3 linked regions of the Cricetulus griseus genome follow. The protein of the gene in region 1 interacts with the protein of each later gene in a pairwise test. Links are inferred from orthologs where the notes say so. Each region holds a gene or a part of one and is shown in the gene's direction. Other genes may lie near its edges. The genes, in order: Camk2b, Acot7 and Ccm2l.

Region 1 (3,746 bases):
TTTGGCACAATGAGGTTTCTCTTTCTGCTTGGGTCCTGTTGATGTCAATGCCAGGATTCCTGCTTTCTCAGCTAGACTCTTCTGACTGGGACCTGCACTTGTCCATGCATGTCTCTTGTTCTCTAGCTGTCTGTCTTGTAGTGGAGGCTAGGTTTGGACACTCATAGGAGGAACTTTCCAGGAAGCCTGTTTTCAGCTGGCAGCACTCTGTCAAAGCTGCCTTTTTGGGAAGACCCCTAGCTGCCCAGCAAAAAGCACTCATTTGCTCCTGCATCTAAGACACTTGCTGAGATGCCCTGGGCTTGTCTTTGGTTGAAATCCAAGTCTACCAAAACTCTCGGGGTTCTTGGGGATTAGTAAGTGGAAAGAATCGAGGCAATCTCCTACCAATGCCATCCAAACTGGCTGCAAATTCCCCTCCCCAAATACCAGGAAGAGTCTAGTTGGGGATGCTGGCCGAGGGGAGCTTTGTGGGAATCTGCCTGTACCCTCCTTCCTTCAGAATCTCTTTCAAGAGAGACTGGGAAGAAAGCGAGAAAGAATAGCGGCTTCTCTTCCTGGCCAGAGCAGAGGCAAAGGGCTGGACCAGACTATCTGGGTAACAGGAATCTGTGACAGAGCAGAGCAGCCCCTGTTTTGCTGACTCCAAGGCCCCACCTGGACTCCAACTGTTCACCTCAGGACAGAAGACACCTTAGTCACCAATCCCAGGAGAAGCAGGGAAGAGGCTTGGGACCACTGCCAGCAAGCTCTATCCTCTCCCCCTCATCCCATTCCGCCTAGGAGACTCATGGGCAGCTCTGCCAGGCCAGGCAGGAAGGGTCTGGCAGCATCTTGTGGGGGTACGGGGAACGGAAGAGCCCAGTGGAGGGCAATACACGACCCTTCCCAAGTGGGGTGCAGTTCCCTCTTGCTGTTTAGAAGAGTCTGGGTTCACTGTTCAACTGCAGTAGCGTAAGAGCCGGCCCAGTGGCTTGTCGGTGCAGGGCTCGAGCCTAGAGGGGCAGACGCAGTGCGTGGGCACCGCGTGGTGCAGTCCATGTGCTGGGACAGGGCGCGGGCACGGGTGGGATTGCATGGTGCGGGCGCAGTGCGGGTGCTGGCGCGGGCGCGACGAGTGTGCGAATGGAGCCGCGGTGCGGGTGCAGGGTGCGGGCGCAGTGCGCGTGCAGGCGCGGGTGCTAGTGCAGGTACAAGGCGCAGATGCGGTGCGTGTGCGGGTACAGGCGTGTGTAGGGTGCGGGTGAGGCGCGTGCAAGGGGCGGCGGGCGGGGCGGGCGCGGCGGCGACAGCGGCGCCCGCGCCTCTGCGCGCGTAGGTGTGCGGCGCGCTCCTGGCGGGGACAGAGCGAGCAGATCTCGCGTGCGCTCGCCGCCCGGCGCAGCCCAGCCCGGCCCCCGCCCGGCGCCGCGAGCCGAGGTGTCTCCCGCGCCCGCGCCCGTGTCGCCGCCGTGCCCGCGAGCGGGAGTCGGAGTCGCCGCCGCCCGAGCGCAGCCGAGCGCACGCCGAGCCCGATCGCCGCCGCCATGGCCACCACGGTGACCTGCACCCGTTTCACCGACGAGTACCAGCTATACGAGGATATTGGCAAGTAAGAGCCTTGGCGCGCACCGGCTGTCCGCAGATCCCTGGGAGCGGGGACCCCATCGCCGCCGGCTCCGCGCGCACTGCGGCCCCGCGCGCCCCCGGCTCCCTCGGGCTGCGGGCCCAAGCTCACTGCCCCGTGCCACCCGGACCCCCAGCCTCGGGTTCTGGGTCCCCGCTGCCCCACCGCAGCGTGTACGGCTCTGCCCCATGCCATAGCTTGACAGGGACCGAGACTCGGGGATCTGGACTCGGCGTGGCGGGGGCGGCAGCAGGTGTCCCCCGAGCGCCGGGCAGACGTGACGCATTTGGCGGCGGGGAGGTCAGAGACGAGCGGCACGCGGGGACGGCTGCCAGGCCTAGAGTGCCCGAGGGGTCGGCCATGGCCTCAGGGGGTCGTCCCCGGTGTGGGCGAGCTGTCCTCACCCCCACCCGAGCGGCGGGCGGCAGCGGTGGCGGACCCGCTCCGCGCCTGCTCCTCGCGTGGCCCCATCTGCTCTGGGGGAGCAGCGTGGGAGCAGCTTCTGCCTTGGGTCCCTTGGGGAATCTGGGTTCTGGAGGATTTTTTCCCCCAGATTCTTCTGGAAACAAGAATTTGGAGGGGGTGGACGAGGTCAGAGAGCCAGGATCAGGCCATGGGGTGGGGGTGAGCGAGTGAATCCAGGAACCAGTTGGGCCTCCGATTTCAGGGTCATCGAGGCAGACAGAGGTTGGCTTCTGAACCGTTTTATTTTATTTAATTTTAATTTTATTTTCTGCTGTGATTGGAGGGCTGGGGAAGGGACTCTGAAGGCGTATTTCGGGTAGGGCCTCGTGGGGAACAGGTGCCCTGGCGCCAAGACGCTGCCCCGCAGCATGAGCATAAGGGGAGGAAGCTATAGTTAAAGCGTCCAGACCTGCCTTTGCCCCTGGGGTCGCCGAAACACCAAAGCCCCCAGGGGCCTCGTGTCAGGCCTGGAGCTTCCCTCTGTGATTTAAGGTGACTGCAGGGGCATCCTTAGGTACTAGCTGCATAACTCCAGAGCTGGGTCCTCCTTCCCACTCCCTCTCCCCTCCCCCATCCCTCCTGCACCGTGGGGGCGCTGGCGAGATTTCCTCTTACACATCCAGCCGCAAATCCTTTTTTTCCCTTTACTAAAAAAGCGTCTGAAAGCTGTGGTGGGCGAGGGACGCTGATCATTGATAATTGTGGAGTGCCCAGCTGGAGGAGTGTGGGGGTGTGTGCATTCCCCACTTCTAACTGCACGTGCCCAGAAGATTTGGGTCAGGCCTGGGGGAGGGGGGGTAGAGTGGCAGGAGGAAGCCTATGCTGGATTGCAAGGACCTAGGCTGGGTGGACTTGAATAGCTGTCTCAGCACCCCTTCTTCAGTTCCTGTCATACTTGGAGTCATTGAAGAAGCTTCCAGTAGCCGGTGGGGGCTGTGCTCTGAGAGGAAGAGGTGATGGGCTGGGAGCCCTCAGATGGGGGTGAGGCAGCCTCGAGGTTGGGAGCAGTCCTTCAGGCCTTCTTGATGCTTTTGAAGAGGGCTCTTCCCAGCTAGGGGCCCATCTCCTCCACAGCTGCTTCTTATGCTGCCAGGGCAGGTGGCAGTAGTCAAAACAGAGCAGTGGGAAGTCTTTGCTTCGGAGGGAACCTTCTTGTCACCTTCTCCTGTGTGCCCAGGAGCCTGTATCCCTCCCTGGGCCTCTTGGTATCTTCCAAGGAGTCCGTGTCAAGAGACCATAACCTCCAGATCACCTAGCTGGTCTGCTTTTGCACCTTGGAGCAAGCTGTCCTGTCTGTGCTGAACAGCAGCATGAGGTGGCCGCTGCCACCCCCGCTGGGGAGTTGAAACTGAAGGGTGGCATTTGCAGTAGACACAGGTGAGGACTGAAACTGCCAGCTCTTCCCTAGGTACAAAAGAATAAGCCCCTCACCCAAGTGTAGAGAAACCACACAGGTGCCAGGGTGAGACCCCAAGCTTGGTGTGGAGGGGCCAGCTAGTCAGGAGTGGTCAGCTCAGCCCAGCATACCTTTTGTGGAGACTGCTGGATACCAGGCTCCAGGCATGGTCAGGAGAGTGGTGAAGGGCCTTACCATGCCCACCTCCACTGACTACGAGTCTGATCCACCAACTCTGGCTTTGGCAGGTAGGAAATGATGACAAGTTTACCCTCAGGA
Region 2 (3,646 bases), on another chromosome or scaffold:
CGGTGGTGCTTACATACCCATCAGGCCACCACCCTAGACAGAGGGTCAGAGCTGTAGGAGCTGCTGGGGCACTGGGGCTGACCTGCTTCTCCACTGGCTTAAGATGCCACTGATGGATCAGAGACTTCTAACGTGCCCACACCTATCTGTAACCACGTGGGTCACTGTGAACCGAGACACTCGTTGTTTGTTCTCTTCATCTCAGTGTGCCTGGACGTTCTGGGTGCCTATGGAATGGCAGAGTGTGAAGTGCCCTGCTTCTTCTGAGGAGCGGCAGGTGAGGAAGAGGTTGAGAGATTCTAGGGCAGCCATTCACAGGGTAGCCTTTGAGTTGGGAGGAAGCATTGGTCAGCAGTGTTTGACGGAGGTCAGCGCCACGCTTCTGAAGCACTCGATTCAGGCCTGGCCAGTGAGTTCTCCTCCAGAGTAAACCAGGGTCTCGGGCTCCCGAGTAGGGTGCTAGGTCTCTATAGTCCACTGCCCGTGGGTCTCTATGTTTACTCACCACATAATGGGGACCCCTGCTTTGCCTTTAGGGTTTCCAGACTGGGAGCCATGTAGGCTTTGGCCAGATCTGCAATGGCACATGAAGATTAATTAGAAGGAGTGCCGTGGAGGAGGAGGTGGACCGTTCTTGGCAGCATCTCTAGAGAAGAGACCGAGGGTGAACAAGCTGCCATTGTAGGAAGAAGTGTGGGCAGGGGAAGGCCACCATGGGGTATGGAAGGTAGAGGTCAGAGCAGGAACATCTCACGGTTTAGACCACCTGTAGGCTGCCTCTCCCCACCTGGTTAGATCTGGTTCTCCAGGCAGGCCTTGAGCCTGCAGGGCCTGGGTGATGCTCTGTGGCTCTCTGTCACTGGGGCTGAGGATTTTTGGCTTGGCTATCTGTGTCATCCTGTTATCGAAGTGACCAGTCGGGTGCCAGCTAGTGGATTCCTGTGTCTGTGGGGATCCCCCGAGGCTTGTGTGTGACATGTGATGTGGCTCTCCTGGGTTTGGGGTGTTCGTTGTGTTGATGGCATCCCTGACTCTCCAGACCTTCCCATCTGCTGGTCCTCTGGACTTAAACTTGGAGTTAGATACTGAACTTCCAGGCTCCGATGTTAAACCATGAGCAGCCATGGCCTTGCTGTGGTCCATGGCAAGAAATGGGTTTCGTGGTTGGCAACAGAAGCACACATTTCCCTTTGTCCTTTGGGATTCATAGTGTGTTTGGAGAACCTGGAATTTGCCTCTCATAGCAGTGTGCGATAGCTGGCCCTTCACACAGTGGGCCCTCGTATGACCCTTGGACTTTGGGGACATCTTGCTGGCTTCCTCTTGTCCCATGTCTCACCCTACAGCCCAGTTCTCAGTGGGCGTTTAGGAGAGGGCAGAATCACTGCAAGATCTGGGGCGACCAGTCTAAGCTGGTGACGGTCCCAGGATGTGGCTGTCACAGGTGTGTTCACTGTCAGATGCTTGCATGTGACTGAGCAATACAGCTTGTATGAGGCGGCCTGTCGCTGACCACCTGGCTCCTTCCTTCCTTCCCTCCCTCCCAGAAATGGCCATGTCTGCACTGAAGCCCTCTGTGAGTATGAAGGTGAACGCGGATTGGAGCTCTCTGGTACTTGTTAGCAGAAAGCCCTGCTGCCTTTACTGTCTCTCTCTGGCTGTCTCAGTGTGTCCTGCAGGGCCTGTCTGCAAGCTAGGATGCTAGATATGTGTTGTAGGGCCCCGCAGCCAGCACTGGTCCCTGCTGAGTAGACCCTGTGACCCATGTGGCCTGGTCCAGGAGAAGACTTTGCTGGAGATGGGAGGAGGGTTCTGGTCACACATCAGTCAGAAGTGGCAGCAGCCAAAGCCCCCACAGGCCAAACCCATGACAGATGGGAGTCATGACCCTCGGCAAGCACTAGACTAGGCCCTCTTCTGTTGTCTTTCTTCTCACCGTTCCCTGAAGGTCAGGTTCTCTTGTGTCCATTTACAAGAGCAGAAGTGAGCACCCTGAGACCAGAAACTGCCAAGGGTTGAGAGGGGCAAGGCCCGGCCGTGGAGGGGTAGGGTGGAGGGGTTGGGTGGTGGCAGGGAAGAGGCATGAAGCCTGGAAGCAGAAGGCAGACTGAAGTACCATGTGCCCCAGGGTTTGGTGGTGTGTGTTGACGTAGACGTCACTCGGGCGTTTACAGAGACACTGGCACTGCACTGAGGTCACAACCACCTGACACCATGTTGGTGCTGAGAAGAGGTGACCTGGGTACAATCCCAGCACACTGTCCAACAGCTCAGAGGGTGAAACTTGAGCAAACCTGACAGACAGACGCATGACCCCACCAAAAGCTTAGCGTCATGGCTTATGTCAATCCAGCATAAAGATTGTGAGCCTCTGGATATTCCTCCCTGGTGCTCAGAACATCACAGTGGGGCAGCTGTGTGGCCAGGGGACACCACCCTGCCCTGGAGGACAGGGAGGGCAGTGTGTTTGACCTTCACCTGAGGCAGAGCTGAGCAAGCTCACCCACAGCCTGGCTGACAACCTGCCCGTCCTGGCCCTATGTCAGGAGGCCCAGACCCAGTGGTGGCTGCCACAACTGCTGGGGCAGCACTGAGTGTCTGCTCAGGACACAGATGACTCACCTTGACTAACAATGGCCACACTAATAGTTTGTTGTCATATGTCCTTGTAGTTGCTACTGCCTGTGTCGCCTAACCCATTGTCTTAACCGTCCTCAGTAACATGGGTTTCTCACTGACCTGCCCCTGCCTACTTGGCGCCCCATGGGTACAGACTGGGCTGGCACCGCTAACGCAGTGGCTGCATGTACTCTGCAGGCTGCGTCGTCACCATCTCTGGACGCATGACCTTCACGAGCAACAAGTCCATGGAGATTGAGGTCCTGGTGGATGCTGACCCTGTGGTGGACAACTCACAGAAGCGATACCGGGCCGCCAGTGCCTTCTTCACCTATGTATCCCTGAACCAGGAGGGCAAGCCGCTGCCTGTACCTCAGCTTGTGGTGAGTGTCCTAAACCATGGGCTGCCCTTAGGTCTAATGAAGTCTTGAGAAGAGGCACCCTGTAGGCTGTAGGCTATAGGCTGGACAGATGGGTCAGACCTCTGAGCTAGTCACCATGGCTGGCACACTGTCTGGAGCTCCTGGCAATGTGCTCATGTGCTGGAGTGATGTCTTAGAAACATTTCAAGCCAACTGGGAGTTGGTGGTGCACGCCTTTAATCCCAGCACTTGGGAGGCAGAGGCAGGCAAATCTCTGTGAGTTCGAGGCCAGCCTGGTCTCCAGAGCAAGTGCCAGGATAGGCTCCAAAGCTACACAGAGAAACCCTGTCTCGAAAAACCAAAAAAAAAAAAAAAAAAAAAAAAAAAAGAAAAACATTTCAAGCCTTGTGTCCTCCAGCTCATCAGAGGGCCTGGGAGGACCCAGGGGTGGGAGGACCCAGGAGTAGGAGGACCCAGAGGTGGGAGGACCGGGGGCGCACCCTCCCAACATGGATTGGAACTTTTATGTCACCTGATGCAAAGCAAGCTTCAGTTCTATGGTACTAGGGGCTCAGTCAGATGAGGACAGGGTTAGCCCACTGGCCATCTGTGTGCCTCCGACTCCTCATCTGTGCAGGGTGACAAGCACAGTATGTGTCCTGTGA
Region 3 (3,646 bases), on another chromosome or scaffold:
AGTTGCTGCTAGGTTGTGCTGCACCCTGGAGTCTGCACCTGTAGCCTTGATCCATCCTGGGCCTTTTTATACTGGTGCCTCTCGATTTTACTTACACTTACTTATTGCTTATTTCTAACTCACAAACAGGCAATAGCTTAACAGATGCCTAAGTATCCTCTTTGAATCTGGCTGGCAGGAACATCACCCTCCCCACAGGGAGGTGTAGGAACTGGGATACCCCACCTGGACTGTCACCAGCTGGTGTCCTAGCTCTCAATCTGGGGTTTCGCTGCTTCAGCTAGAAAAGGGGAGCCACAGAGACTGCTCCTCCTGCAATTTTAGGAGGATTAACTTAGGTTGTGGGAGTAGAACTGAGCTTACGAGCACTCAGTAAAGCCACTGCTGTTGCTACTGGAACTCTCCTGTCTCCCCCAGGGCTTTGTGTCTCCCATCAGAAGGCTGGTGTTTCCGAAGGCTGCACGGCAGGCTGCCTTCAGGAGCAATGTCAGTCGCAGGCCCCTGCATTCTATGCCCCTTTATCCTCCTGACTACCTCATCGATCCCCACATCCTGCTGTGTGACTACCTGGAGAAAGAGGTCAAGGTGAGCATGAGAAGGTGGGGGGGGGGGATTCACACCAACTCCTGACACACCCTGTGTCACATGAAGGAAGCTGTGACTCTTGGGGAACAGCCTCCTACCTCATAGCCACAGGCTGCATATCCTCAGCAGGTGACACCTACCCACTGAGCCCCCAGCGTTCCTGTCCTAATGTGGGGCTCAGAACCTACCCCCACAGGAGACGGAGTGGGAAACTGTGCTGTGTTCCCCAAAGCTCCGCCTACTCATGAGATTTTTGTCTGCAGTCTCCGGTTACTCAGTGTCCAAGTTAAAGGCAAGGGAGAGGCTGGGCATGTGACTTAGTGGTAGAGCACTCACCTGGCATTCTGGAGGCTGCCTGTCCAGTACAGGAGGCAGGGCTGAGGTGCTGGTATTGGGAGGAGCCACAATGGAGGACTCTCGTACTACTCAAAAGCTTTACTTCTATTTCACAAGCACCATGAAGGAGCACTAGGGAGGGAAACAGGTCCTCATCAGCCAAAGATTGGTGTGAGGTAGGATTAGGGCATTTAACAAACAGGCTACCTAATCAAATTTAAATTGCAGATAAGCAATGATTATTTCTTTCGCATAAGTATGCTCCAAATGTTAAATGGAACTAAAAATACAAAAAAAAAAGAGCTTAAAAACAAAATTGTTGTTTAACTGACATCTTGTGTTTTATCTGGCAATCCTATAAATAGAGAAAAACCAGAAAATGAATATGTTTAAAAACCAAGAGCTAAAAAATTACAGAATAAAAAGAAAAGATGTGAGTGGTGAGATTTGCCCAGAAAACTGCAATTTAAAGTAACAAAAAGTTAATTCTTATACTGAATAATAACATTTAAATGATAATGCTGCTATAACAGAATGGGTGGGGAACCACAGGCTGACTGAGAGCATCATCTTTTTCTTTTTGTTTATTCTTCTCTCATATAATACATCCTTATCACAACCCCCGCTTCCTTCAATCCTCCAGTTCCCTCCTCCCCTACCTCTCCTCTCCCTCAGATCCACTGCTCCTCTGTTTCACCTCAGAAAAGAACAGGCCTCCCAGGGGTATTAAACAAACACAGCGTAAGATGCATTAAGACTAGACACAAACCCTGGTATCAAGGCTGGACGAGGCAACACGGAAGGAGGAAAAGGGTCCCAAGAGCAATCAAAAGAGTCAAAGGCACCCTCACTCTTACTGTTAAGAGTCCCACAAAAACCCCAATCTAAACAACCCACAGCATGTGCACAGAGTCCTGGGGCAGCCCCCTGCAGGCTCTGTGATTGCTGCTTCAGTCTCTGTGAGCACCTGTGAACTCTGATTAGTTGATTCTGTGGGCTGTGCTCTTGTGGTGTTCTTGACCCCTCTGGCTCCTACAATCCTTCCTCTCCCTTTTCCATGGGGTTCCCTGAGCTCTGCCCAAAGTTTGGTTGTGGGTCTCTACATCTGTTCCCATCAGCTGCCAGAAGAAGCCTGTCTGATGGTGATTGGGCTAGACACTGATATATGAGTATAGCAGAACAGCATTAGGAATCAATTGACTTTTTTTTTTTCCGTCAGTTTTGTTTGGTTCTATCCTAGTACTCTGAGTCATCCAGCTTAAGGTTCCTGGCTATCCCGGCAGTGTTGGGCATGGGCTCCCTCTTGTGATGTGGGTCTCAGGCTAGAGCAGTCATTGGTTGGCAACTCCCACAATAAAGATTTTTATTACCTTTATTGTTTGTTTGATTGAGACAGGGCTTCACTGTGTAGCCCTGGCTATCCTGGAACTTACTCTGTAGACCAGCCTGGCCTCGAACTCACAGAGATCCACCTGCCTCTGCCTCCACCTCCTGACAAGAGGGCATCATTTTTTTTGAAAGAAATGATATATTAATTCAATGCTTCTTTCCATTTAATCTACAATGTGGTTGTTAAAAGGATTAATAATGTGTGGGGTTCAGGGAGCCATTGGGCAAGAAAACTCCCAGGCTTCCTTCAAGATTTAATAGTAGAGTCTGGGGGCAGGTGTAGAGAGAGGAATGAATGGTTCAATGGGTAAATCGCTTGCTGGCTAATTTGAGGACCCAGGTGAAAATCCCCAACCCCCTGCAAAATCAGGTGCACACAAAACATGCACCTGTGACCCTAAAAGACCCACACAGTTGAGATGGGAGGTGGAGACGGAGAATCCCTGAGAGCGCGCACACACACACACACACACACACACACACACACACACACACCGCCTCCGACAATGTGGAAGGCAGTGCGCATCCCCTGACTTCCACACAGGTGCTGTGGCATATGCCTGCACTCACTCACAGGAACATGCACACACATAAACATGAAAAATGGCAGAGTCTGGCCTAGCATGCAGAGACACTCCAAACCTGATCTCCAGCATGGCAGTTGGGCGGCGGGCACTAAATTAGTGACTTTTGCTTCCTGCAGAACCTCATAGAGTGAGATGGCCATGTGTTAGTGCGTATCAGCTAGCTGTTGGAATGTGGGCTCTGGCACATGTAATCAATCAAGCCTTCTCTCTACCCCACAGAGCCTGATGTCACCCAGGGAGGTCTTGAACTTGCTATGTACCCAAGGATGACCTTGGACTCTTAAAGTTCCTGCTTCCAACTCCCAAGTACTGGATTAGCATGCACCACTACAACCTGGCCAGTCTTACCCTTTCTTGCTATAGTCCTGGGCCAGACTTTTAGTTAGCTATACTGTGTTCAGCCTTTTAATATTGAAAGCAAGGGTGAGTGGATGAGAGAAAATGTACATATGTGTATATACATATCTGTAAACTCAGAACTAGTCCTAGCTACAAGGTTATATTAGTCAAGGTTCTTTAGAGGAATAAGAATGAGAGAGAGAGAGAGAGAGAGAGAGAGAGAGAGAGAGAGAGAGAGAGAGAGAGAGATTGATTAGAGTGACTTACAGGCTATGTTCCATCCAGTTCAGCAATGACAGTCTTGTAACAGAAAAGCCAAGAATCTGATAGTTGTTCAGTTTATGAGTCTCAACTGGTCTTCAGTCTTTGAGGAAGTCCTGAAGAATCAGGATCTAATACTATAGAAGAAA

Evidence for each region.
Region 2: the proteins of Camk2b (region 1) and Acot7 interact in binary tests that used the Homo sapiens proteins (3 or more experiments, as listed by UniProt). The two-hybrid records come from large-scale screens. The link is inferred for Cricetulus griseus from reciprocal best matches to the Homo sapiens genes CAMK2B and ACOT7.
Region 3: the proteins of Camk2b (region 1) and Ccm2l interact in binary tests that used the Homo sapiens proteins (3 or more experiments, as listed by UniProt). The two-hybrid records come from large-scale screens. The link is inferred for Cricetulus griseus from reciprocal best matches to the Homo sapiens genes CAMK2B and CCM2L.

What each region holds. Positions count from the first base shown.
Region 1 is NW_023276807.1:98,786,874-98,790,619, forward strand, and holds the start of Camk2b (calcium/calmodulin-dependent protein kinase type II subunit beta), read left to right. Parts: upstream 1-1,526; coding exon 1,527-1,591; intron 1,592-3,746. UniProt on the Homo sapiens protein: Calcium/calmodulin-dependent protein kinase that functions autonomously after Ca(2+)/calmodulin-binding and autophosphorylation, and is involved in dendritic spine and synapse formation, neuronal plasticity and regulation of sarcoplasmic reticulum Ca(2+) transport in skeletal muscle.
Region 2 is NC_048595.1:4,109,241-4,112,886, reverse strand, and holds part of Acot7 (cytosolic acyl coenzyme A thioester hydrolase), read left to right. Parts: intron 1-1,547; coding exon of another isoform or gene 1,548-1,612; intron 1,613-2,817; coding exon 2,818-3,002; intron 3,003-3,646. UniProt on the Homo sapiens protein: Catalyzes the hydrolysis of acyl-CoAs into free fatty acids and coenzyme A (CoASH), regulating their respective intracellular levels.
Region 3 is NC_048599.1:26,937,118-26,940,763, reverse strand, and holds part of Ccm2l (cerebral cavernous malformations 2 protein-like), read left to right. Parts: intron 1-417; coding exon 418-585; intron 586-3,646.